4 linked regions of the Mus musculus genome follow. The protein of the gene in region 4 binds, or shares a complex with, the protein of the main gene of each other region. Links are inferred from orthologs where the notes say so. Each region holds a gene or a part of one and is shown on either strand. Other genes may lie near its edges. The genes, in order: Shisa6, Cript, Htr2c and Dlg4.

Region 1 (6,289 bases), about 3.5 Mb from region 4:
AGCCTCCTAGGCTGGATGCTGGACAGAGCCCATACTCCTGGAGCACATGGTCATCATTCTCTGAGCAAACAGCCCAGGTAACAACCTCAGGGACACTCAGGAAACTATGACAATCGGGGGATGCCTGTGGTTCCGGCCTTAACCGGAGACGTTCTAAAGCAGAAATAAGAAAAGAATATACCTTCTAATAGAACTGGGGTTCCAGCCTGGAAGGTGGGACACCCTCATCCAGCTCTAACATCGCCTTCTCCTCCCCGGAGCCCAACCAGCTGGATATGGGTGTGCTCGCTGCTAGAATTCCCCAGAGAGCTGGCTATCTCTACTCCAGACACTGACTTCTCACTCAGAAACACGCTAGGGAGGGCTAATCACTTCTTGAAAAAAAGCAAAATCTGTTCTTCCCTGCAAGGGAGGGAGAGATGCAAGAGCCATGAGGAATACACATGCGTATGGCAAGCAGAGGGCTGCCCAGCCTGCGAGCACCAAGGCAGAGCAGATGGCCTATCTCTCTTCCATCTTTTCTCAAACTCCCACAATATCCCTTTGCAGTGAGGCTTTCCTCACTGAAACTCCCTCAGACACAGGACCACTTGCCCCAGGGCAGGAAGGGCCCAAGTCTGTCTATCATCAGGGAGGCTCACACACTGCAGCAGCTCTGCTCTCCCTTGCAGTAAAGACACATCACATCTCGGCTGCACTACTTCAAAAGAGCAGGAAACTGAAGCACATCCTATCTCCCTACCTGACCTCTGACCATGACCATTCTTGTTTCTCCCCACTTTCCCTAGGAAAAACTCATTACTGTGAATACATATCTCCTACAACCTTGCCTCTCTAACAACACAGACTACACAGCCCCCAACCCCACCTGGGTGGGGTAAGCAGTGACTTCTGAGGTCTAAGCAGAAGAAGATGAGCCCCCTCCCGCTCCTGCCCAGAGGAGCATGTGAGAGCGATGTGGGCACGCATCCTGACACACTTGGAAGGAAGACGTCCGGGTGATATGCTGTCTTGCCAGAACTAAAAAACGAAGTTCCCTAACCTACTCAAGGTCACTCCTGGTGTCCTCCTATCCCCAGCCCCCACCTGCTCACAAACACTGATAAGTATTGTCCCCTACACACCCAGTACCAGAGTGATGGTTTCCGTAGCACCCACCAGGCGAGGCTGCAGCTGCTGGAGAGGTGCTGTGAACTGAATGAAATCAGGGGGTGAATTTGAGGGAGAAACATTGCCTATTTCCATAATGATCTGAGGCCTGAAATTCAGCTCTTTCCCCCAGGGTTCACTCTCTCCTTCTCCCAACCCTAGAAACTGCCCCCTCCATGTGGGACAGAGACACTATGTGGGGAAGAAGAGAGGAACATCAAGAACCTCTTCAAAACCACATGGCAATGTCCAGTTTTCACAGGGATTCAATCTCAGACTTTAATCTCTGAGACTACAACCTTATCAACGTAGGCTGTCATGAACAAACTGAATAAGGAAGAAAGGGGGAGGGAGAGTGCGGGGATGGGGGAGGAGAAGGGGAGGAGTGGAGGAGGCAGGGAGAAACCCCAAGAGATGTTCGTGAGAATCAACTAGAAAGTGGTGAGAGCCAACGTGGGCTTACTGAGTCGAGACAGGAAAGAGGAGATGAGTCCCCGAGTCCTGGGTCAGAGGTAACACACGAGAAACAATGCACATCTGTTTCAGAAAGGCACCTGCCTCTAAGCCATTCTTTGCTTTGCAAACTGAGCCAAGCGAGAATTCACTGCCAGACCAAACAAACTCCTAAAAAGTGGTGTCTTGCTCTTAGTTTGTTCACAGTGCCCATCTTCTACATAGCAAGGCATGGAGACCACAGACTGTTGCTCACAAGCCTAGTCCAGTTCAAAGGGATGCTGAGTAAGCCCATGCTGGGAATAGCTACAGGAAGACTGTGGTGGCAAGGTCAGGTAATGAAGGGTTAAGAAGGGATGTTCCCTCTAGAGTGCATCCAAGTCTAGTCCTTGACATCTCCTCTCAACACCCACCAGATCAGGGTGGGAGAGGCAGGCAGAATCAGCTCTTCCAGCATGCCTAGAAATTTCTGCCTGCCTTCCTCTTTTCAGCAAGGTAGGGGTGATTAATGTTCAGAGCAGTGACAGGAGGAGGTTTAAGCCACGGAGATAATAAGCAATGTGCAGATATGAGCTAAAAGGTGGAGGGACCAGGCCAGCCTTGGTGGGTCAACTCACAAGCAGTGGGCTGGGGGCTGGGCCTGGGAACTAGGGCAGTGCCCACTCTGTGTGCCAGAAATGGAAGTGTTTCCTGGGGCAGGGCTTTTCATTGGAACCACATCCAACCATTCATCTTCATGGGGACGCTGGAAGCACAGCTGATTTCGCATCCTCTGCCTGTGCAGTTCCGAAAGGAGAGGCTGGGCTCCTGTTGTCCCTTTGGCTTTGACTTTCCAATGATCTCCCTGGGGAGCCAGAGACACGGGTGGGAGGAAATCAGAGTGGGACTGTGACTATCAGGTTTTCAACTCCTGTTACACATTTTGGAAGGGGACAGTAGACACTGTCTTTACCATGTGTGCAGTACAAGATGGCCTGAACATTACAGAAGCATGAACTCAGGGAGGTCTGCCTTGGGAGAAGTCCTCCAGTCTCATCAGGAAAGACAAGCACCCCACTGGGAGACCTACCCTCTGTGCTCTGTCAACACGCAATGGGGAACATTCTTCCAGGCAGAGGCAATTGCCCTTTCCATACCATCCTGCACTTAACACCTGGGAACACCCCCAGCTCACACTAACCCGCTTGCTGTTCTTTTCAGTGAGGTGCCCACACTGCTCTGCTCTTTATATTAAAGTGGCACGCCAGTTTTTAAAATAAATTCAAAAACAAAAAAACAAAACAAAAAACCTAAGCATGGTACAGCCCATAGTAAAGTGTCCACGAACCATGAAATACAGCCTGGGGATTATTGGTGAGATTCTTATCCTTGAACATCAGGAACTCCGTAGACTGGTACTTTGTGTTGCCATTCTTTCTAAAACCAAAAGCACACCTAGCTGCTTCCTACGGAATGCGGGAGAGCCTACTGCTCCTAAAGGAAGCGACTGTGGAAGTGACTTAGAAGGGGAGAGGTAGTACGCGCGAAGAGGACAGGGCCAGGCCCGTTAAGGGGGGCGCGAGGCCTGGGAACCCAAGGCAGGCACCCAGTAGCGCCTCTCACCTGTGGATGTTCATCTCTCGCGGAGGGCGGTGGGCCTTGTCATAGGAGACCTTGGCGAAGACGCCCGCCACGATGACGAAGGCGATCACCCCGCAAGTGATGTAGACGGTGAAGTTGGTCTTGTCCTTCTCCGGGTCGTACTTGTTCTCGGGCCCCGGCGACACTACCTTGGTGCTGGGCGTCTGCACCCATACGGGGCTTTGGTAGTTGGTGCACTGGCGCTGGTCCAGCTTCTCGTGGCGCTTCTTGCAGCAGAAGCGATAGTAGCAGGTGCCGCAGCAGTACAGGTAGCCGCTCTCGCTGTTGTTGCACTCGAACTCCTTGTCGTACTGGCCGCTCACGTCGTAGTAGCCCCAGCACGTCTCGTAAGTAACAGTCGCGCTGGCCGCCGCCGCCGCCGCCGCTGCCGCTGCTGCGGACTGTCCCCGCCGGCTGCCCGCCTCCGGGACGCCGGACGCTCGGGCGGTGCTGTTTAGTTCGCGGCCGCCTCGGGCCAGGGCGCCCCCAGCACGCCGACCTCCGACGGCTCCCGCGTTCAGGGTCCGGTTCCCGGAGCGGCCGCGGGCGGCGTCTGCGCCGGGCGGCAGGTGCAGGGACGCGAGCGACAGCAGCAGCGACAGCAGCAGAGGCGGCAGCAGGAGGCGGCGCAGCGCCATGGCGGGGCCGGGCGGGAGGGCGCGGGCGGACGCGGGCTGCAGGCCGCTGCCCCGGCGGCTGGCCGGGCTCCGAGGGCGGCCGGGCGGGCTGGAAAGGCGAGACGGACCGGTCAGCGGCGGGGAGATGGCGCCATCGAGGCGCGGGCGGCGGCGGGAGCGCACGGAGCGGCGGGGCGCGGGCTGCGCGGGGCTCTCAGGCTGCGCGCCGGCTCCGCGCTCCCCCTGCGGGCTCCGCGCGCCTAGCGGGCAGCCCCATCCCCCGCCCGCGGCAGCGGCGGCTCCGCGCGACTCGGCTCAGGCCGGCCCCGAAGCGCGGCTCCCGGAGGCGGCGGCAGCGGCGGCGTGGTCCCGTCCGGGCAGGTCCTGCGGGACGAGACGGGGCAGCGGTCACGGGGTGCGGAGAGCGGCGAGCAGCCGGGCGGAGAAGGAGCGCTCAGCCCTCGAGGAGTGCGTCCCGACTGGGACAGTGGCCCGAGGACGCGTGGAGAACCCCTGGGGAAGCCACCGGGCCGCCGAGCCCGGGGACGGTGCTGCCGACTGAGGCTGGGGTCCGGCGGGCAGCCGGGGTGCGCGGCGGCTGCACCTCAGTCACTCACCATGCCGGGCTGCGACTGCAGCGGCGGCGGCGGCTAGGCGGGAGCGCAGCGACCGGAGCGAGTGAGCGGAGCCGGGAACCGCCTGCACTAGTGCCGGAGCGTGTGCGATAGGAGAGAGGGAGACACACGCACTCACACAGCCGCACACGCGGGAGCGCCGCGCGGGGAGGGCGGGGAGGGAGGCCAGCCGCTCGCCGCCGCCCACGTTTCCACGCCTGGGCGCCCGGTTGGGGGACGGCAGGACTTCTCTTTGCCTCTTCCTCTCCCTCCTCCCCACCCCCCGCCTCGAAGCTTCGCGTCACCAACGCCGGGACACCAGTTAAGCGACTAAGATGGCAAAGAGGGAGCTCACCCCCACTACCTTCACCCCGGAGCAAGGCCAGAGTGAGCCCTCTGGAGCCGGCCAGCGGCAGGGTTAAACCTACTCTGACATTGCCCTTCTAGCCCTCTGGTCAAGTATTTCTAACCCTCCCTCACTCCCCCGCTTTACTTCAGCCTGGTCTTTGCGCTACCAGAAAGCAAGTTGGGGTTTCTGCAAGCCTCTGCCTCTCCCTAGTGGTGATGTTCACAGCCAAGATAAGAGGTCAAGCCCATTGCTACAGGTTCCTACACTGAGGCCAGGGGTCAAGTGGCTGTTGGGCCACCTAGTGTGATGAACTTAGGCTCCTTTCTCCTCCATCGCTCGTGCAGGAGTGAGATAGCTCCAGCTCTGGGTGACACCTCGAATTCCCTCTTTCTCCAACTTTTTTTCTAGCATTGAGACGAGAGTTAAAAAATAAATAAAAAGAAATAAATAAATAAAACTACCTGGGTTTTAAAGATTTCTTTGGAAAGCCCTACATTCCTGTCGTTGCTGCTGGAGGAGACAGATTAGAGAGTCCCTTGTGACCAGAGTGAGACCAGGCTGGCTGAAAGGAGACCCACGAGTCTGGCTTTCTAAGCTATGTGGCCACCCCAAGGGGGAGTCAGAGTCTTAGTTTGCTGTGTGTTGTGTGGAGAAGGTGGGAGACCCGAGAAGAGGAGCAACAGCCAGCCCCAGACCGTAGTCCTGAGAACTTTGGTGGGAGACAGAGGCAGGCTGTTAGAATGATAGTAACAGAGAATTTCCCTGAAGTGGTCTACTCAGTCCTGCTCACGATGTGCCTCAAACAAACTCTCAGCATTCAGGGAGTCTGGTGTTAAATGGATGGACTGAATTGGAGCTGAAACCCAGAACCCACGGCACAGAGGGACATTTTTACCTGAGATGGGAAGAGGGGGACTTCTCTGGCCGACCGTTCTAGAAACTCTCCGTGTGCTGCTCATTCTCTATCCCCTCCTCCTTCCTCTTCTTCCTCGGCACTTCCTCCGATTTCCTCGGCTTCGTCTCTTAATGGCTCTGTTAACAATCGTTTTTAGTGCCAATCCTGCCAAGCACACTGGTAAGTGCTAAGATAAGGAATGACAGTCCCTTCTCTCAGGAGTTCCTTTACAGAGGAGACAGTCAAATGACTTCTGCGTGGCATGTTTGTGTCATGACCGAGATGGGCACAGCCTATTCTGCGAGCAGGATACAGGCTTCTAGCATCACCCACGAGGGGAGCAGTGAGGGTCAAATACAGTTCTTGGGGTGCTAATGAAATGCCTGGTGAAGAATGGTTAGGAGTTAGAAAAACAAGACAGAATAAAGATGCTTCCAGCAGAGGCAGGGAAACTGGGAGAAAGAGGGTGGGTGAGCTAAGCATACACAATGGTGAAAGCCATAGGGGGGTTTCTAAACAAGGGCAGCCAGGAGGCACTGTATTCCTGCCAAAGAATTTGTGTTTAACAATGGCTGGGAAAATATTGGTAGGT
Region 2 (6,479 bases), on a different chromosome or scaffold from region 4:
AGGCAGACTTTTCAGACAAGGGCAAAAAGTAGCCACATTCTTCACCAAAATACCACAAAAACAGTCTTTATGCCACATACTGAAATTCTTCTCCTTTGAAATCTCTTGGGCCAGGTCAACACAGTTACTCCCAGCAACAAAGTCTTCCAGATTCCTACTAGGATGACCCACTAAGCCCCATTTAAAGCATTCCACTGAGTTCCAAATCCAAAGTCCAAAAATCCACATTCTTTCAAATAAAAGCATGGTCAGGCCTATCACAGCAATACCCCACTCCTGGTACCAACTTCTGTCTTAGTTAGGGTTTTACTGCTGTGAACAGACACCATGACCAAGGCAAGTCTTACAAAAAAAAAACCAAAAAAACAAAACAAAAAAAAAACAAACATTTAATTGGCGCTGGCTTACAGGTTCAGAGGTTCAGTCCATTATCATCAAGGTGGGAGCATGGCAGTTTCCAGGGAGGTATTGGTGCAGGCAGAGCTTAGAGTCCTACCTCTTCATCCAAAGGCTGCTAGTGGAAGACTGACTTCCAGGCAACTAGGGTGAGGATCTTAAGGCCACATCCACAGTGACACACCTACTCCAACCAGGCCACACCTCCCTGGTACAAGAATATACAAACCATCACAGACCCTTATTGTAATTTTTAAAAATCTTCATATAATAGCCCAGTTTTTAATGAACACTGTATAATTGCTTTATTGTTCAGTCTTAAAGTAGTGCTTTGACAATGCCTACACTCTTTTTGTATGTGTAACATCTGTCTACTTTGGTTTTTTTTTGTTTGTTTGTTTGTTTTGTTTTGTTTTTGTTTTTCGAGACAGGGCTTCTCTGTATAGCCCTGGCTGTCCTGGAACTCACTTTGTAGATAGACCAGGCTGGCCTCGAACTCAGAAATCCGCTTGCCTCTGCCTCTCAAGTACTGGGATTAAAGGCATGCATCACTGCACTGGGCTTTGCTGTATGCGTTTAATAAAAAAAAAAAGTAAGGCAGTCTAAATTTGTTTGAGAATGTAAAACTTAGATGTGGGAAGGAAATGTAAACACAGACTTTACCAATCTGAATCAAATAGACATACATTGAAATAATAATTTTACTACTTCTTGACTATATGAGGAATCCGTACATGTAACTCAGATGATGAAGAAAGATGTGCACTCCCAGGAGAACCGAGCCCTCGGTGTTTACTGGGCAAGGTAATCAGCATCTAACACTGCACTGTGCAAAATGTGACGCACCAGAGCAGGGCCACAGCGCTTGACCCAGCTCCTGTCTCCTAACAGCAAACAGTACCTGTGGTGTTCCGGGCACCATCTTTCCATGTGTCTGGAGTGATAACTCTGCCGAGTTTCTTTTCACCTGTGGTCGCCAAGACAGCAAAAGAGAACAGCTGTCATCTAATAAGCAAACTGTGTGGAAATAAAATAACAAAACCCATTTCTTTGCTAACTTTACAATAATAATTTAAAATGATAAATATATTGTATCGCCTAAAGTACATAACGATATGAAGTCAGATTATAGGAGGAACCTACTAATGCCAGGGTAGAAACCAATGAATGAAAACTTAAGATAGTAACAGTGGGCAACAGATACTGGTTCTAAATAAAACTTACAGGACAAAACGATGCTCTAGTAACAGGCTTTAACTGATTATACTTTAAGCAGTTCTGACAAACTTATTCATTCCTCTCTCTCACATTCTCTAATCACCTAGTCTGTACAAAGCACCATGCAAGGTTCTGATGAAAACAAAGCAATTTAAAATGATAAATATATTGTATTTATATGCTCCAAATGGACAGTTACTTAGTACTGTTTAAGTAGGGCACTGTTCAGGGTGGAGAAGAGCACTGGATGCTCAGTGGTATGGATGTGCCAGCTGAGGCCAAACAGTCCTCAAACACCTAACAGAACAAGGAAAAGAAAGCACACTGAAACCAAACTCCCTGGAACTCAGTAAATGCACAACTGGAGAACACGTACGTGCCAAGTTCTAAGAGGTAACTCTAAAAAATTGGAGAAAAGTAACTTTCTCGAATAATGTGTGATACAAGGGAAGACTGAACTGAGGCGGCTGCTGACATTACAGCTTCTGTATGCAAGTACCTCAGTTTACTTACGGGGTGCATGCAATGAGCAGACAGACTGAGAGGCTACAGATAATAAGACCTTAGATTTCTCAGAAGAGCAGAGGAAATGACCTTTCAGGGCACAGCACAAAGGACGGCTTCACAATCTAAATACATTTAAGCCACATTTAATTAACCATTTATCCCACTTTCGAAAAGAATAAAAAACCGTTTAAGAATGGCACAGCTCTGGAGGGGTGTCTGTGTCCAGAGTTCTACATACTGAGGGGCTATGAACAAAATGGGTCCTGTATATCCGCCAGTAACTGAGATGTGGGTTGAATCTTGTCAGAGAAGGCTGTCTAGCCCATGAAAGAGATCAAGAGAAGAAAGTTGTTTTTAAACGAATCATCAGCTTTTGCAGCTACCAAAAAAAAAAAAATTAAATATTTACAACAAATCTTAAGGGTTTCATTGGAATTACTGAATGGTAACTAAAAGGGTTAAAAAGACCTTTCTAAAAGCCAGGGGTGACTACTTAAAGATTTCTTTGGTGGTGATGAGACTCTCTCCTTCACCTGACCCAAAGCTGTGAGTATTAATGAATTGACGGGATGGCTCAAAATATCCAATTTAACTTAATTTCAGATAGCCACTGAAGTAATTTTTAAAATAAAATCTAGCCGGGCGGTGGTGGTGCACGCCTTTAATCCCAGCACTGGGGAGGCAGAGGCAGGCGGATTTCTGAGTTCGAGGCCAGCCTGGTTTACAGAGTGAGTTCCAGGACAGCCAGGGCTACACAGAGAAACCCTGTCTCGAAAAACCAAAAATAAATAAATAAATAAATAAAATCTGTATTAAATGCGGCATGTTTTGTAGTAAGGAAAAGCAGAAAGTCAAGATTTAAACATTATTCGGGACATATTAATAATACTGGAAATTAACCATTGCTTATAATCTTAAGATGTAACCGAGAGCCTGGAACTTATACTTGTGACATCTGTCAACTCTTGATGCTACCAGAAAGATCGTGAAGATCCGATTTAAGCCTCCGAGAGCCAATCAAGAAGTTGTAACGGAGGAGACCCAGAAGGGGCGCGAGGACGACAACAGAAACAAACACAAGAGGCGCAGAACTGAAGCCATTCTCAACACAGAGCGGAAGGCTATGCTTACGGGACAGGCAAGAAGGGCCGAGGGGCAGGGTAGGAAGACACCGGTTACGCCACAGACCAGCAGGGGAAAACCAGAGAAATCCCGAGAGAACTTCTCAGCCCTCCACCTCCCCCAGAAGCAGCCCCTGAACTTACACTTTTCACACACCATCCTTACATGGGGGTGTCCCTGTGCCCTCAGCCGGCAAAGCAGGAGCAGCAACCCAAACACAACAACGCCCCAGCGGAGACGACTTCCTCTTCCGGCTACGTCAGCCCGCTTCCGGACTCTCAGCCCTCCCGCTCCGGCCTATCCCGTACCTAGAAAGTCGCGGGAGGGATAAACGCGAGCTGATGGGCGGGGCTGCTCTCATTATCCCGCCCCTTCTCGTCAACGATTGGCTGTGCGCTTGTGAGTTCCCCCCGCCCCCTCGCTTTCTGGTCTGCGCCTGCGCCAGGGGCCATGCCAGCCTGTAGCACCTGAGGGTGGGAGGCGGTGGTGTCCCCCTTCCCTTCGGCGGGCGGGAGAGTTAGGTAAGCCGGTGGCGGGTTGCTTCTCACACTCGCCCGGGGCGGGTGCAGGTCGCACCGCCGACCGCTGCGGTGACTTCCAGGGCGCCACGCTTCCGGCGGACCAGAGGATGCCCTGCGCTACCGACCCTCTGAGATGCCGGCGTCTATCACAGTCTCTCAGGGGACTCCGACCTCAGGTCACCGGGTCGGCCGCACGGGCTCTCTCTATGATGGCGACCTCCAGTTGCCCACACTGCGCCGTCCGAGGCTGGGACGGAGCCACCTGGGTGGGGTGGAGCTGCGGTCCGCACCTGAGCAAAGGCTGCTCAGGAGGAGGGCTCGGGAGCAGCCAAGCCTTCCGACCCCGTTCTCACGGGATCGCGAGTCCCGAGGGCGGCTTCCCAGGTGTGGTGTCCTGGGTCGGGGACTCGCTCGCCGGTGTCACCTTTGCGTTTGGGTACCGCTCGCGCTCGCCGTGTTAGATGGGTGTTTGCCGGTGGCCTAGGATGGATTTCTGATCGCGCTTCCTGCCTGACCCCGCAGTGGAAGGGAGAATCTGAGAAACTTTCCCCAAGTCTTTTCACGGCTATGCGTTCTTGTCCCGACCCTGGAGGATTTCTTCTTGTTTAAAGAGGCGATGCTTGAAATGGCTTGTGCGTGTGTAACCTTGGCCGTATCTGCTAACTTGTTCATCCAGTTTTCTTAATCAGTATCATTTGCTTTTGAAAACGATAAGTGTGAATGAAATGAGGGCTAATAGCACCATGCCCAGACTTGCGCTTTTACCTTTCCTGCTAGTTCCTCACCCTGCGGTGTGGATGTTACTTTTTGGGCCCGATTTTTACTACATTGTAACATGTGTTACTTTTAAGTTCTTAATTAACTTTAGTCAGTATAACATAGAAACTGTTCTCTAGGTCAAATATATGTATTTAGAGACTGGAAACTATTGTTTCTCCTCCCACTCGCGTTCTGCTATTACCATTATTTAACATCTGTACAGACAGTGTGAGCCCTTAGTGTAGCATAATGACCATCTTAAGATGGTCCTCCACCATTTGCATATCTAAGTGTATACTTGGCTGTCATTTGGGAACTGCAGTGATTTTCGCCAAAAAAGTAAAATTAGTTGCTGGTGTCTGGCACATGTCCCCTTTGTAGAAACCAGTCACAAATATTTAAATTTTTACAGGAATTTTCTTTTTGAGGCTCTGAAAGATAATGTATACCATATTAGAGAAATCTAAAGTAACAATTAAAATCTGCATATGCTTGTTCTGTGTTTTGAAACAAATATGTTGCCCATAGAAAATTATTAATACATGGTTTATATTTAGAGTATTGAAGTGCTTGGGACAATGGAAAAAAAATCATTACATGTTTTTCTTAATTTGTTTTCTACTAGATAGCTACCCAAGAAAACATCATGAAAGATACTGACATCAAGAGACTTCTGTATACCAATCTTTTGTGCGTATTTTCAATTTTCCTAAGCATTTTCATTCCGTCCTTCTTCGTGGACAACTTCTCAGTATTGGAAGCTCATTTGACCTGGCTGTGTATCTGCTCTGCTTCTGTGACCACTGTCAATCTCTTGTCGTACTTAGTAGTGAAACCGAATGTGTCCTCTAAAAGAAGTTCATTGTCACATAAGGTAAGGGTCACTTCTGTTGCTTCACTGGCTTTAGGGTGGAGGTTACAGTGTAAGAAGGAAGTTTCGCTTCGTCCTTATTGAGTGATTTACAGTGTAAAGGGAACCAAGTCTCCCCCGCCCCCACCAGAGCAGTAGCCTGTTACCTTCCTACAGTGTTTGATAGATTCTTGCTGTGCATTCATTGTGGAATTATGACTCCTTCAATGCATCACAATGTGAATGACCTATATAAGCATGGTTTTATCACGGAAGATAACTTACAAGACACTGCAGTTTATTTTCATTTACTTTTGTACATTTTTTTAGGTATGTGGGTGGGCAAATGCATTTGGGGGCTGGAGGACAACTTGAAGTGTTATCTTTAGAAACCCTGTCCGCCTGCCCTGTCCAGGACATTTAATGGTGTGGAGCTTATCACTTAGGCCAGAGTGGCTCTCCAGAGAGCCTCTGTCTCCCCAGTGTGGGGACAAGCAAGCCCCATACCTGACATTTTACGGTGGGTTCCGGGAATCGATTCAGGTCCTTGTTGCTTACTGACTAAACCGTCGCCTAAGCCATTTATATTTTTAAAATACATATTTTTATTGTTTGGTAATTTCATACATGCACGCTGTGTTTTTGATCACATGCATTCACTCCCTACTCTATTCCTACTCCCTGGGCAACTTGATAACCTTTTGTCTTTGTAGTTATAACTTCTAGAACCCTATATCTGAATGGATGTGGGGCCATCCACTGGAGCTTGGAGTTTTCTAGACTTCATTGGAAATTAAGTCATAGCAACTGTTATTTCACATGTGACCTTCCTTGACTAAACAGTTAAATGTTTTCAGATATAATTTAATTTTTTCTAGAATAGTCACTATGCTATGACATTTGACAATTATGTTAAATTAAAATCTCACTGAATACTCAGTACCGTGTTTAATTCCCTGTTAGAACATTTTAAACACACATGTACACGCACATAGACACAAAATATATAATTCTTTTTCATTTAAAAGACAAATATCACACAAATACACGCTACCCACCATACCAGCATAAGAGCCAAAAGTGATTTCTGTTTCTGTAGTGTGACT
Region 3 (5,688 bases), on a different chromosome or scaffold from region 4:
GACTGAGCATAGCTTAAGATACATACACGCTGAACTGGAGAAAAAGTGAAAAGGGTGAAGAGAGGATGTTCTTATAAGCAACTGATTTTGTAAGGAATAGTAGAGCATGCTAGAGATCTGAAGGCAGGGATTGAGGGTGTAGTTGATAGGGCAGAAACACTGTGGTTCTAGAACGAAGCAATAGTTGAATTTAATAGAATGCAATGTAAGGACTAGTAAAGAATCAAATATGAGAACAAAGCCACTGAAAGTCTCACTTAACCCAAACCTACTATTTAAGGAGTGTATAAACCCTGAGCAGAATAACCAAAGTCTTGAATCCCTTTGCTCCTATGTAATAACTGAAAATAATAAAGAGATAGATAGAAGTAAAAATAAAAACTAGATAGATAGATAGATAGATAGATAGATAGATAGATAGATAGATAGAAGTAAATAAATAGATCTCATCCAGAATAGCCAGTCACAAATGATGTTTTCAAACAGAAAAAAATTTAATTATTTTATTTATTTACATTTCAGGCATAACACCCCTCCTGTCCTCCCTCCCACAGTTCCTCATCCCATTTCTCCTCCCCCTTGCCTCTGAGAGGGTGCTCTCCCCTCCAAACTCTCCCCTTCCCTGGGGCCTCAAGTCTCCCAAGAATTAAGAGCATCTTCTCCCCTGAGGACAGACCAGTCAGACTTCTGCTCCATATGTGCCAGGGCCCTCAGACCAGCTGCTTTATGTTAACTGGCTGGTGGCTCAGTCACTGAGAGCTTCCTGGGATCTCAGTTGGTTGAGACTGCTGGTCTTCCCACGGGTAGTTTTCCCTTTCAGCTTCTTCAGTCCTTCCCCTAATTCAGCCACAGGGGTCCCCGACTTAAGGCCAATGGTTGGGTGTAAGTATCTGTATGTGTCAGCCACCGGCTATTAGGATCTCTTGGAGGGCAGCCATGCTAGGCTCCTGTCTGTAAGTACATCATAGCATCAGTAATAGTGTCAGGCTTTAGTGACCTCCCATGAGATGGATCCCAAGCTGGGCCAGTCATTAGACCTCCTTTCCCTCAGTCTCTTCTCTATTTTCATCCCTATAATTATTTTAGACTAGAACAATCCTTGGTTAGAAATTTTAACTGTGGGATGGCAATCCAGTTCCTACACTTGAGGCCCTGTCTATTTACTGTAGGTGGACTCTTCGAGTTCCCACTTCCCAATGTTGAGCATTTTGGCTAAGGTCACCCCAATTGAGTCCTAAGAGTCTCTTGACTCTTGGGTCTCTAGAATTTTCTAGAGAGCCCACTCACCTCCCATCCTCCTGAGGCAGTGTAGTTCCATTCTTTCTCTTGGCCCTCTGGGCTTCTCTCCTGTCCCCCCATACCTGATCCTGTTTCCCTTTTCCCCTTCCCATCCCCTCTCCTATCCAGGTCCTTCTCTTCCGCTGCCCCCCCCCCCATATTATTTTATTCCCTCTTCTAGGAGGGAGGAAATTTTGAACATAATTGTTGTCTTATTTTTCTCATGGAAGATACATTTGTTGGTTTTGTTGGACACACCTTAGGAGCTCACATCTTTAGCAAATATTTGTGTTTTCAATGTAAATAAATCTCATCACTATGAGAGAAATTAATTTGAAATTAACAGAAGTGAAATAGAAACATCTCCCTTGTCTTATATCGCCACCTAACCTGAAATTCTTACTGGTAAAATATAAGGACCAATGTAAAAATATGTATTTAAAATAATTTAAGAGATTTAATACCTAACTCTACCTCTACCCTAAATGGGAATCAATCATTTACACACATTACTCTTAAGCCTAGAATTAAGTCCTAGAAAACCAAGGACACAAATGAGGTAGGCAGTAGGGAGCATTAAAGTTTAAGACACGAGGCAAGAAGCAGACAACCATTAGAAACTCACTTTGCAAGCACGAGAACCTGGAAATACTCCTAAAAAGAAATGAGTGTGCATTGCTGTCACAGCAGCTTTCAAAACAAATCATAAACTGTTCTGATAAAGTCTTATGCTTTCTTTTAAATTTAGAACAACACAATTCAACTTCCAAGTATCTTGTCTGGCCACTGGCTCCTTTAAGGAATTTTCCCATGATTTCTGTCACAGCTGTCTTAAAGAAATTCATATTTTAAAAATATAAAGAATAAAACATTAAGTCTGTCTCTGAAAGACAGATGTCACATTTTTTCTCTCATTTGTAGAGCCTTGACTTCATAGATACACTTAATCATGTATGACAGATGACATGAAGATAAAAGCAAAACTCTCTCAGGAACAAAGACATCTAAGAAGGGTGAGGGAATCTATTGAGTTGGAGGAAGACATATTAAAAGTACTTTCTATACTTACATGAAAATGGTCTTTTGTAATACAACATAATAAAATAAAATAAAAATCTAAAAGAAAATATAAATTATCACACTAAGTCAAATAATACTGTATTTTGAAATAGCAGTAATATTTAATATTTTAATATGGTCTGAACCTAGACCATATGATGGCCCCTGGTCCTGTCATTTACTTGGCTACATTGGCTGGGGAAAGTGGCAAAACCCTTTTTTTAACTTCATTGTTTTTTTCAGCTGCATAATGAGAACAAATCATTACTGATCTCCTGTGGGATATATATATGTGTGTGTGTGTGTGTGTGTGTGTGTGTGTGTGTGTGTGTGTGTGTGTGTAAACTAAGTGTCTACCTTATAGCAGTCACTCAGTAAAAGATAATGATAAAAATGGGAAATGAGGAGGATGGAGGTGGTCATGGTCATAGTAGTGGGAGGGGGCTACAAGCTATTGTATAGTATATATGATATATTGTGAGTAAAGGGAGCCTAATTTTCCTTTCTCTTTTCTTTTTAATTTTCAGTGTGCACCTAATTGGCCTATTGGTTTGGCAGTTCGATATTTCCATAAGTCCAGTAGCAGCTATAGTAACTGACACTTTTAATTCCTCCGATGGTGGACGCTTGTTTCAATTCCCGGACGGGGTACAAAACTGGCCAGCACTTTCAATAGTCGTGATTATAATCATGACAATAGGGGGCAACATTCTCGTTATCATGGCAGTAAGCATGGAGAAGAAACTGCACAATGCTACCAATTATTTCTTAATGTCCCTAGCCATTGCTGATATGCTGGTGGGACTACTTGTCATGCCCCTGTCTCTGCTTGCAATTCTTTATGGTGAGTACACTTTTACTCATTTCTCACTCTCATAGTTTTGTAATAATCATCAGGATATAATTTATACAGTTAATAATTTATCTAAAGAATTTGAAAAAAATATAGAATAAAACAAAATGTGAGCAAGAAAAAATGATTGGATATGTTGAGATTTATGAAATAAAACTTTGGCAGAGTTTTCAAAAGTTAAAACACCTATTTTATAATATATTGAAATTATCCATAAATACTTTATTTGCAGGTGTCATATATAAACAATAAATAACCATACAAAATGGGATAGTGGCAAAATGGCACCCTGACCTGTATTTGGGCTAGCATATTTATTGTCAGTGCCATCTCTAATACACAAAAGGAAAGCAAAATTTGTCTTCTATAATGATTTTATTTTAAGAAATGTTTCTGAGTAACAGATATTGAACCCAGGGCCTAATTTACTCTAGGCAAGCACGCAATCACTGCTATACCCACAGCATATGTAATCTTTTATGTTGACAAACTAAATAGTTGGTACAAATTATGCACTTAATAGGCATTGCTCTTCTTTTTCATGCAGTTTATAAGTCATGGTTTTATAAGGAGACGAGGTATAAAAATTAATTTCTGAGCACATAAATGTAAGTTCATATCACAACTATCACAAAACTCAGCTTCAATGATTTTCAAGAGGCTTTAATTTTTTCTTTGATTTTCTGCCATCTCTTTGCTTTATTCATTTTAATCTACGTTTTGGTTTTGGTTTTGGCTAGTACTCATGATTTTAGAAAAATCAAAATCACATTAAAATCCTGGTCAAGAATACTAAATTGTCTTCCAGAGGACCTGAGTTCAATGTCCAGCACCTACATGGCAGTTGACAAGTATTTTTTACTGCAGTCCCAGGAGATCTGATGCTCTCTTTTGACCTCTGCAAAAGACAGAGGTCTTTTGACCTAGACAGTAGAACATGAATGTGGTGCAGACATACATACAAGCTAAATACTCATATACACACAAAATTAAAAGAAAAACTTCAAATGTTTTAAAATATTAATAAAAAATAAAATCAATGAATCAAAGCTCATGTGAACTTCCTGCCTCAGACTCCCAAGTAGCTGTTGCCTCCAGTATATATCACCACTGTATTTGTCTTTCAATAAGTACCACAACTACAAAATTTGAAAATCAAGTTCAAAGTTAATTGCTAATATGTGGAAGTCCCAGTTTAACTTTAATTGTTAACATACTCATCTTCCTGTAGAGGAAAAGAGAGAACAAGAACTTGTCCAACAAGTTCTCCAAATGCATAATGGAATTGGACAATGAAAATATTACTAAAATAGTATCTAGTCTAAAAATCTGAAAAGAAGAACAATGTGTCTTGAAAAAGATCTCTTGTGACACTTAAAACTTAGCCACTCCCAAATCTTCAGTGGCAGTACCTAATTTTATCATCTCTAAATGCCTTATAGATAAGGCACTCTTAGAAGCTACAGTTTTCCTATTCCACTGAGTTTCAGTGACATGTTTATCTCAAAGCATCTGTATCACACTGCTTATTTGGCTTTTTACTTCTCCAGTATTAGTGAAGACAAGGTCACAGAAACATAGTGAAACAGCCACTTCAAAGGTACTGTTTCCACCGTGAGCTCCCCACTGCATGCCTTTTTGGGGTAGATCAAAGGCAGGCTACAAAAAAATGTTATAAGGAGGCCACAGGGAGTTTAGAGGTCAGGTGGGTTGGGGGTGGGGGCATCCACGTGGAGACAGAGGGGGTGGGGAGGAGTTGTGGGATGTGGAGCTGTCAGAGGATGGATGGGGGGCAGGGAATGGAATATGAAGTATAAAAAATAAATTATTTTTTTAAAAAGTGTAACAAAAAAAATTTTTAAAAGAACATTATGAAGACCCCGGAGGTTGATCTAAAAAACTCCATTACAAAGTAGACCGAAAATTTCCCAAGATTACCTTCAAGTCACAGACTGAAAAGTCTGCACAAATCTCAAGAAAAAGTAACTTCCTGGAGGTAGAACAGAGTGAAAAGGAAAAATAAACAAGAGAGGCAGAATTGACATTCGAAGAAAGGGGAGGAGGACAGTGAAATGGTGAAGAGATTAAAACATATTTTATATGACAGAAATGTCACATAAAAACACCATTAACTCTCCCCATATTGCCTTCCACTCTTCACATAAAGCCCTTGAAAGAAACCATGCTTCTTATGTATCAAAAGATGGCCTAGTCGGCCATCACTGGAAAGAGAGGCCCATTGGACATGCAAACTTTATATGCCCCAGTACAGGGGAACGCCAGGGCCAAAAAGGGAGAGTGGATGGGTAGGGGAGTGGGGGTGGGTGGGTATGGGGGACTTTTGGTATAGCATTGGAAATGTAAATGAGCTAAATACCTAATAAAAAATGGGAAAAAAAAGAAACCATGCTTCTATATCTGCGAAGATGTTCTTGAGCTTAAAACATTAGCAATCAGCAGCAAAGATGCAAATATTCCTCAACCGTGTCAGTACTATA
Region 4 (4,603 bases):
AGCACTAACCAATGGCTCTCAATGGTAGGGCCTAAGGCCAGTGTGTGACACAGCAGGCGTCTCTAGCTCTCTCTCTCTCCCTCCCTCCTCTCCTCCCTCCCTCCCTCCCTCCCTCCCTCCCTCCCTCCCTCCCTCCCTCCCTCCCTCCCTCCCTCCCTTATCCCCTAGGCTGAGTTTGAACCCCTGTGCTTTAATAATCTTCCTGCCATAGATACAGGCACTTGTCACCATGCCCAGCTTTGGGATATTTTGAGTCTTCCTCCAGCTTGGCACCCTTGTGGGAAGCCTCTGCGGAAGGACTGCAGCTCCTCTGTGCCCGCCGCCTGTCTTTCTTACTTCTTGCCCTTCCTTCCATCTCTGTGCTAGGGATTGAATCCAGGGCTCCGTACATGTTAGGCAGGCACCAAAACCACCGTTGAAAATCCACCTCAGCTCACCTCCCGACTGCTCAGTAGCATTTTCTCCCTTCTCGGGGCCTCTTTTCTCATGAGTCCCCTTCCTGTCTCTTCACAAGGCGTTGAGGTCTCGTCCCTCCCCTTCCCTGTCTCTCCCCTCCATCTGCTTTCTTTGTTCAGGTGGCTGGTCTTATCTGCCCTCTGCTATACTGGTGTCCCTGAGAGCTGTGTGGCCTGGTGGGATGCCTTCTTGGAGGTTCCAACCATTCTGGATGTTGCCTTTAGGCCATCTCCATTGGGTTGTCCACAGGCTTGTCACAGCCAACATGTCTTAGACTCAGCTTGCTGTGTTTCTCCTGGATGCCTGTGTTATGTCTTAGGGACCCACACCTAAGCGCTCCCTCTCTGTGGGAGGCTAGCAGGTGCTGGGGGTCATTTAGTTCTCACTGCATGACTCGGGGGCTTTTCTCCCCAGCCCCACTGCTTTTCTCTGCACCTTTGTTCTTTCAGAAACTTCCCAGAGCTTTTTGTCCTTAGACAGGTCTGGGATTGCTTACCGTGTGTGTGTGTGTGTGTGTGTGTGTGTGTGTGTGTGTGTGTGTGTGTGTGTGTGGGTGTGTGGGTGTGTGGGTGTGTGGGTGTGCATGTGTGTGTGTGTGCCACCCGGGAGGTTCATACTTTGCTTGCAGATCCCGTGTGTGTGTGTGTGTGTGTGTGTGTGTGTGCCACCGGGAGGTTCATACTTTGCTTGCAGATCCCTTGTCCAGAATCTGGCTGGCTCTCGGGGTGCCTGGTGAATCTTTCCTGGGGTCTTCAGCCAGGCCCTGACCCATAGTCACTTGTGTTATCCAGGGCCCTGTTTGACTACGACAAGACCAAGGACTGCGGTTTCTTGAGCCAGGCCCTGAGCTTCCACTTTGGGGATGTGCTTCATGTAATTGACGCCAGCGACGAAGAGTGGTGGCAAGCGCGGCGGGTCCACTCTGACAGTGAGACCGATGACATTGGCTTCATTCCCAGCAAACGGCGGTGAGGCTCCTGGGGCCCTGAAGCTTTCCTGATAGAGACGTCCACGTCCACATGGTCCCCCAGGGTGGGCATTCAGTAGGGACTCCTGGGAATCTGCTGGGGACCATGGCTCCCATCAGCCTCTGGGAGAGAACGTCTCCTCCGTGAGGGACATAGGGCCCAGGTGCTGCTGGAAGAAGGGGTTCCCACCTGGACCAGAGGGCCTCACTGAGCATTTCCTGACTGTCCCCCACTCTTCCTCTATGTATCCCATAGGGTCGAGCGACGAGAGTGGTCAAGGTTAAAGGCCAAGGTAGGTGGAAGGTAGATGAGGAACTTGGTGGAGAAGTGGTCGGGGTGGCCTCTAAATCCCAAGCCTACCACGAGAATTGCTTTTTCTTCTAGGACTGGGGCTCCAGCTCTGGATCACAGGGTAGGTAGAGTTAATTGGAAAGCTGTGGGATGAGCTGAACGTGGAGTTCCCCTTGGGCAAAGCAGGCAAGATGGTCTCCAGGTCACCTGCCTTGCAGAGCCCCTTGCCGATGCCCTGTCTCCTACCAGGTCGAGAAGACTCGGTTCTGAGCTATGAGACGGTGACGCAGATGGAAGGTGAGCCTCTGCCCCAGCCTCGGCCCTTCTCCCCGCATGCTTTGCTGGCTGCCTGAGCCAAACCATTTCTCCCCAGTGCACTACGCTCGCCCCATCATCATCCTTGGGCCTACCAAAGACCGTGCCAACGATGATCTTCTCTCCGAGTTCCCCGACAAGTTTGGATCCTGTGTCCCTCGTGAGTACGGGGTCCTTGGATCTCTGTGGAGTTGGAGTTGGGGGACCCAAGGAGTCTCACTTTGTCAGGGCCATGACACTGGAGTAAAGCAGGACACAGATCACCTTAGAGGAGGGCTTTTATGTCTGCAGCCAACAAGGCTGGGCCAGAGCCCGGCGGGCCCCAGGGTGGCAGTTCTGTCCCACCTTCGTCTCAGTCTCTCTGGGTACTCTGGGGGGCTGGCTGATAATAGGCTGGCATCAAGGGGTGGTGGTTAGATCTTTGTGGGGCGGGATGACTTCTTGGCAGATACGACACGTCCTAAGCGGGAATATGAGATAGACGGCCGCGATTACCACTTTGTCTCCTCCCGGGAGAAAATGGAGAAGGACATTCAGGCGCACAAGTTCATTGAGGCTGGCCAGTACAACAGCCACCTCTACGGGACCAGCGTCCAGTCTGTGCGAGAGGTAGCAGAGCAGGTAAGAGCTGGCCGGCACGTCGTCCTCTTCCTCCTGCCCGCTCCCTACCCCATGGCCTCTTCCAGCTCTCTCTAACTCTCTTTCTCTCTGTCTCTTTCCCTGCTGGGTCTGCACTCCGCTCCTCCACCTCCTTCTCCTCTCGGGCAACTCTGACCGCCTGCTCTTCTGTGGCCTGCTCCCCTTGCTTCCTGACCCCATGCCCCCCACTGCCATCTGTCCTTGTCTCTCCTGCTTCTCTCTCCTTGCCCCATTTTCCTCTCATCCCGGGGTTTTGCCTTTGGTGGCTTTGCCTTTCCCAACTTGTTCCTTTCTTTCTTCCTGACTCCCCTCTGCTCCTTCCCTTTTTAAATGGGGGGGGGTCCCCACTACCCTCTCTCCCATCCTCCTTTATCCCCCTTTCCCTAACACTCCCCACACTGCCTGTCCTCCCTCTGTGGCTCTTTTCTCCATCTGCCTCCCCTCCCTCCCATCTGTCTCTCCCATTCCTTCCATCTGTCTGTCCTCTGTCCGTCCTCCCCTCCTCCCCCCTCTATCCTAATTCTGTTATCTTCTCCCTTCACTGTCTTTGCCCGCCTGCCCGGCTCTGCCCGCTGCATCCCACCTCTACCACCCCTCTTGCCTTTGCTCCACTTTCACCTTTCGGGTCCTCTCCCCCATCTCCTACACTCTGTTTTGCCCCCTTCCTGCCCTCCTGTGCTTGGCCTTCCGTCTTTCTGTCCCCCCTCCTCCCTATTGGTCACTCTGCCTACATCCCTCTTTCTCTTCTTTTGCCTACATGTCCCTTGGCATCTGTCACTTTCCCTTTGGCCAACCTCCTGCCCCCACCTTCCTATATTCTCTGTCTCTTCCTGGCACCTCTGTCTGTCCTTCCTGCTACCTGCTGGCCCCCCTCCGCCCACCCTGCCTGCCCCCAGGGGAAGCACTGCATCCTTGATGTCTCAGCCAATGCCGTGCGGCGGCTGCAGGCGGCCCACCTGCACCCTATCGCCATCTTCATCCGTCCCCGCTCCCTGGAGAATGTGCTGTGAGTATGGTCCCAGGGGCTCCCCCTCAGCTCCCTCCACCTGTGACCCTGGGCTCTCAAGGTCCCCTACCTTGATCTGTCCTTTCAGAACCTGGGACAGCAACTCCCACAGTGTTCAAAGAGCTGCATTGAGAGTTGAGAGTCAGGGCTTGAAACAATGGGGGGGGGGCTTTCCCCCTTCTCCTGCCTTGGGTTAGGCAGGCCTACAGTTCTCAGGAGCCCCCCTGGGGCATACACAGGCTGTTGCAAACCAGAACCTCAGAGGCAACTAACTGGGAGTCAGTCTGAATTCTTTCTATGGGGCTAAAGGCTGAAAGGATGAGTTTCAGAGGTCCTGGATGGGGTGGGTTGCCGTGAGCACATCTGTAGCCCCAGAGGGTATCAGAAATGATATCGTTTGCTGTGTGCTCCAACTATGAAAGAAGTTGTAATGCAGCCTGCCAGGAAGGAGGTAAAAATGCAGAGAGGGGCCTAGCCCTCACATCTGTGTCTCTCTCCCTCTTGACAGAGAGATCAATAAGCGGATCACAGAGGAGCAAGCCCGGAAAGCCTTCGACAGGGCCACGAAGCTGGAGCAGGAGTTCACGGAGTGCTTCTCAGGTGAGAGGCCAGGCAGTCCCGTGAGCCCCGAGGACAGGGTGTGCTGAGATTTGATGGAGCTGCTCTACTGGGTGTGGCCGGTGTGGGAAGAGGGGTCTTGTCAGTGGGCTCAGGGACCCATGGCTCCTGGCTGAAGGACTAGGAGGTGCTCCGGGCTTCGGGCTCCCTGGTCACATGTCTTTGTGACCTTGGCCTCACTTGCTGCTCTGCCTGACTTGCAGCCATCGTAGAGGGCGACAGCTTTGAAGAGATCTATCACAAAGTGAAACGTGTCATCGAAGACCTCTCAGGCCCCTACATCTGGGTCCCAGCCCGAGAGAGACTCTGA

The links.
Region 1: Dlg4 (region 4) and Shisa6 share a complex: the UniProt entries of both Homo sapiens proteins name them as parts of the postsynaptic hippocampal AMPA-type glutamate receptor (AMPAR) complex. The link is inferred for Mus musculus from reciprocal best matches to the Homo sapiens genes DLG4 and SHISA6.
Region 2: the proteins of Dlg4 (region 4) and Cript are in contact, whole or in part, in a crystal structure (PDB 5HED), measured with the Rattus norvegicus proteins. The link is inferred for Mus musculus from reciprocal best matches to the Homo sapiens genes DLG4 and CRIPT. Residues at the interface, in NP_062567.1 of Rattus norvegicus: Gly322, Leu323, Gly324, Phe325, Asn326, Ile327, Val328, Gly329, Gly330, Glu331, Asp332, Glu334, Ser339, His372, Glu373, Ala376, Leu379, Lys380, Arg399, Phe400; in NP_063972.1 of Rattus norvegicus: Lys94, Asn95, Tyr96, Lys97, Gln98, Ser100, Val101.
Region 3: the proteins of Dlg4 (region 4) and Htr2c are in contact, whole or in part, in an NMR structure (PDB 2MHO), measured with the Rattus norvegicus proteins. The link is inferred for Mus musculus from reciprocal best matches to the Homo sapiens genes DLG4 and HTR2C. Residues at the interface, in NP_062567.1 of Rattus norvegicus: Gly74, Leu75, Phe77, Ser78, Ile79, Ala80, Asn85, Pro86, His87, Ile88, Thr97, Lys98, His130, Val134, Leu137, Lys138; in NP_036897.2 of Rattus norvegicus: Val452, Val453, Ser454, Glu455, Arg456, Ile457, Ser459, Val460.

The regions. Positions count from the first base shown.
Region 1 is NC_000077.6:66,522,105-66,528,393, forward strand, and holds the start of Shisa6 (protein shisa-6 precursor), read right to left. Parts: upstream 4,023-6,289; 5' UTR 3,861-4,022; coding exon 3,205-3,860; intron 2,447-3,204; coding exon of another isoform or gene 2,308-2,446; exon of another isoform or gene 1-2,307. UniProt on the Homo sapiens protein: Involved in maintenance of high-frequency synaptic transmission at hippocampal CA3-CA1 synapses.
Region 2 is NC_000083.6:87,022,583-87,029,061, reverse strand, and holds the start of Cript (cysteine-rich PDZ-binding protein), read right to left. Parts: upstream 3,502-6,479; 5' UTR 3,403-3,501; coding exon 3,387-3,402; intron 1,364-3,386; coding exon 1,298-1,363; intron 1-1,297. Other genes in the region: Pigf (phosphatidylinositol-glycan biosynthesis class F protein), read left to right, coding at 5,170-5,397. UniProt on the Homo sapiens protein: As a component of the minor spliceosome, involved in the splicing of U12-type introns in pre-mRNAs. Involved in the cytoskeletal anchoring of DLG4 in excitatory synapses.
Region 3 is NC_000086.7:147,072,867-147,078,554, forward strand, and holds part of Htr2c (5-hydroxytryptamine receptor 2C precursor), read left to right. Parts: intron 1-2,864; coding exon 2,865-3,181; intron 3,182-5,688. UniProt on the Homo sapiens protein: G-protein coupled receptor for 5-hydroxytryptamine (serotonin).
Region 4 is NC_000077.6:70,040,093-70,044,695, forward strand, and holds part of Dlg4 (disks large homolog 4 isoform 6 precursor), read left to right. Parts: intron 1-1,247; coding exon 1,248-1,424; intron 1,425-1,679; coding exon 1,680-1,716; intron 1,717-1,808; coding exon 1,809-1,836; intron 1,837-1,964; coding exon 1,965-2,012; intron 2,013-2,088; coding exon 2,089-2,190; intron 2,191-2,478; coding exon 2,479-2,651; intron 2,652-3,565; coding exon 3,566-3,675; intron 3,676-4,183; coding exon 4,184-4,275; intron 4,276-4,496; coding exon 4,497-4,603. UniProt on the Homo sapiens protein: Postsynaptic scaffolding protein that plays a critical role in synaptogenesis and synaptic plasticity by providing a platform for the postsynaptic clustering of crucial synaptic proteins.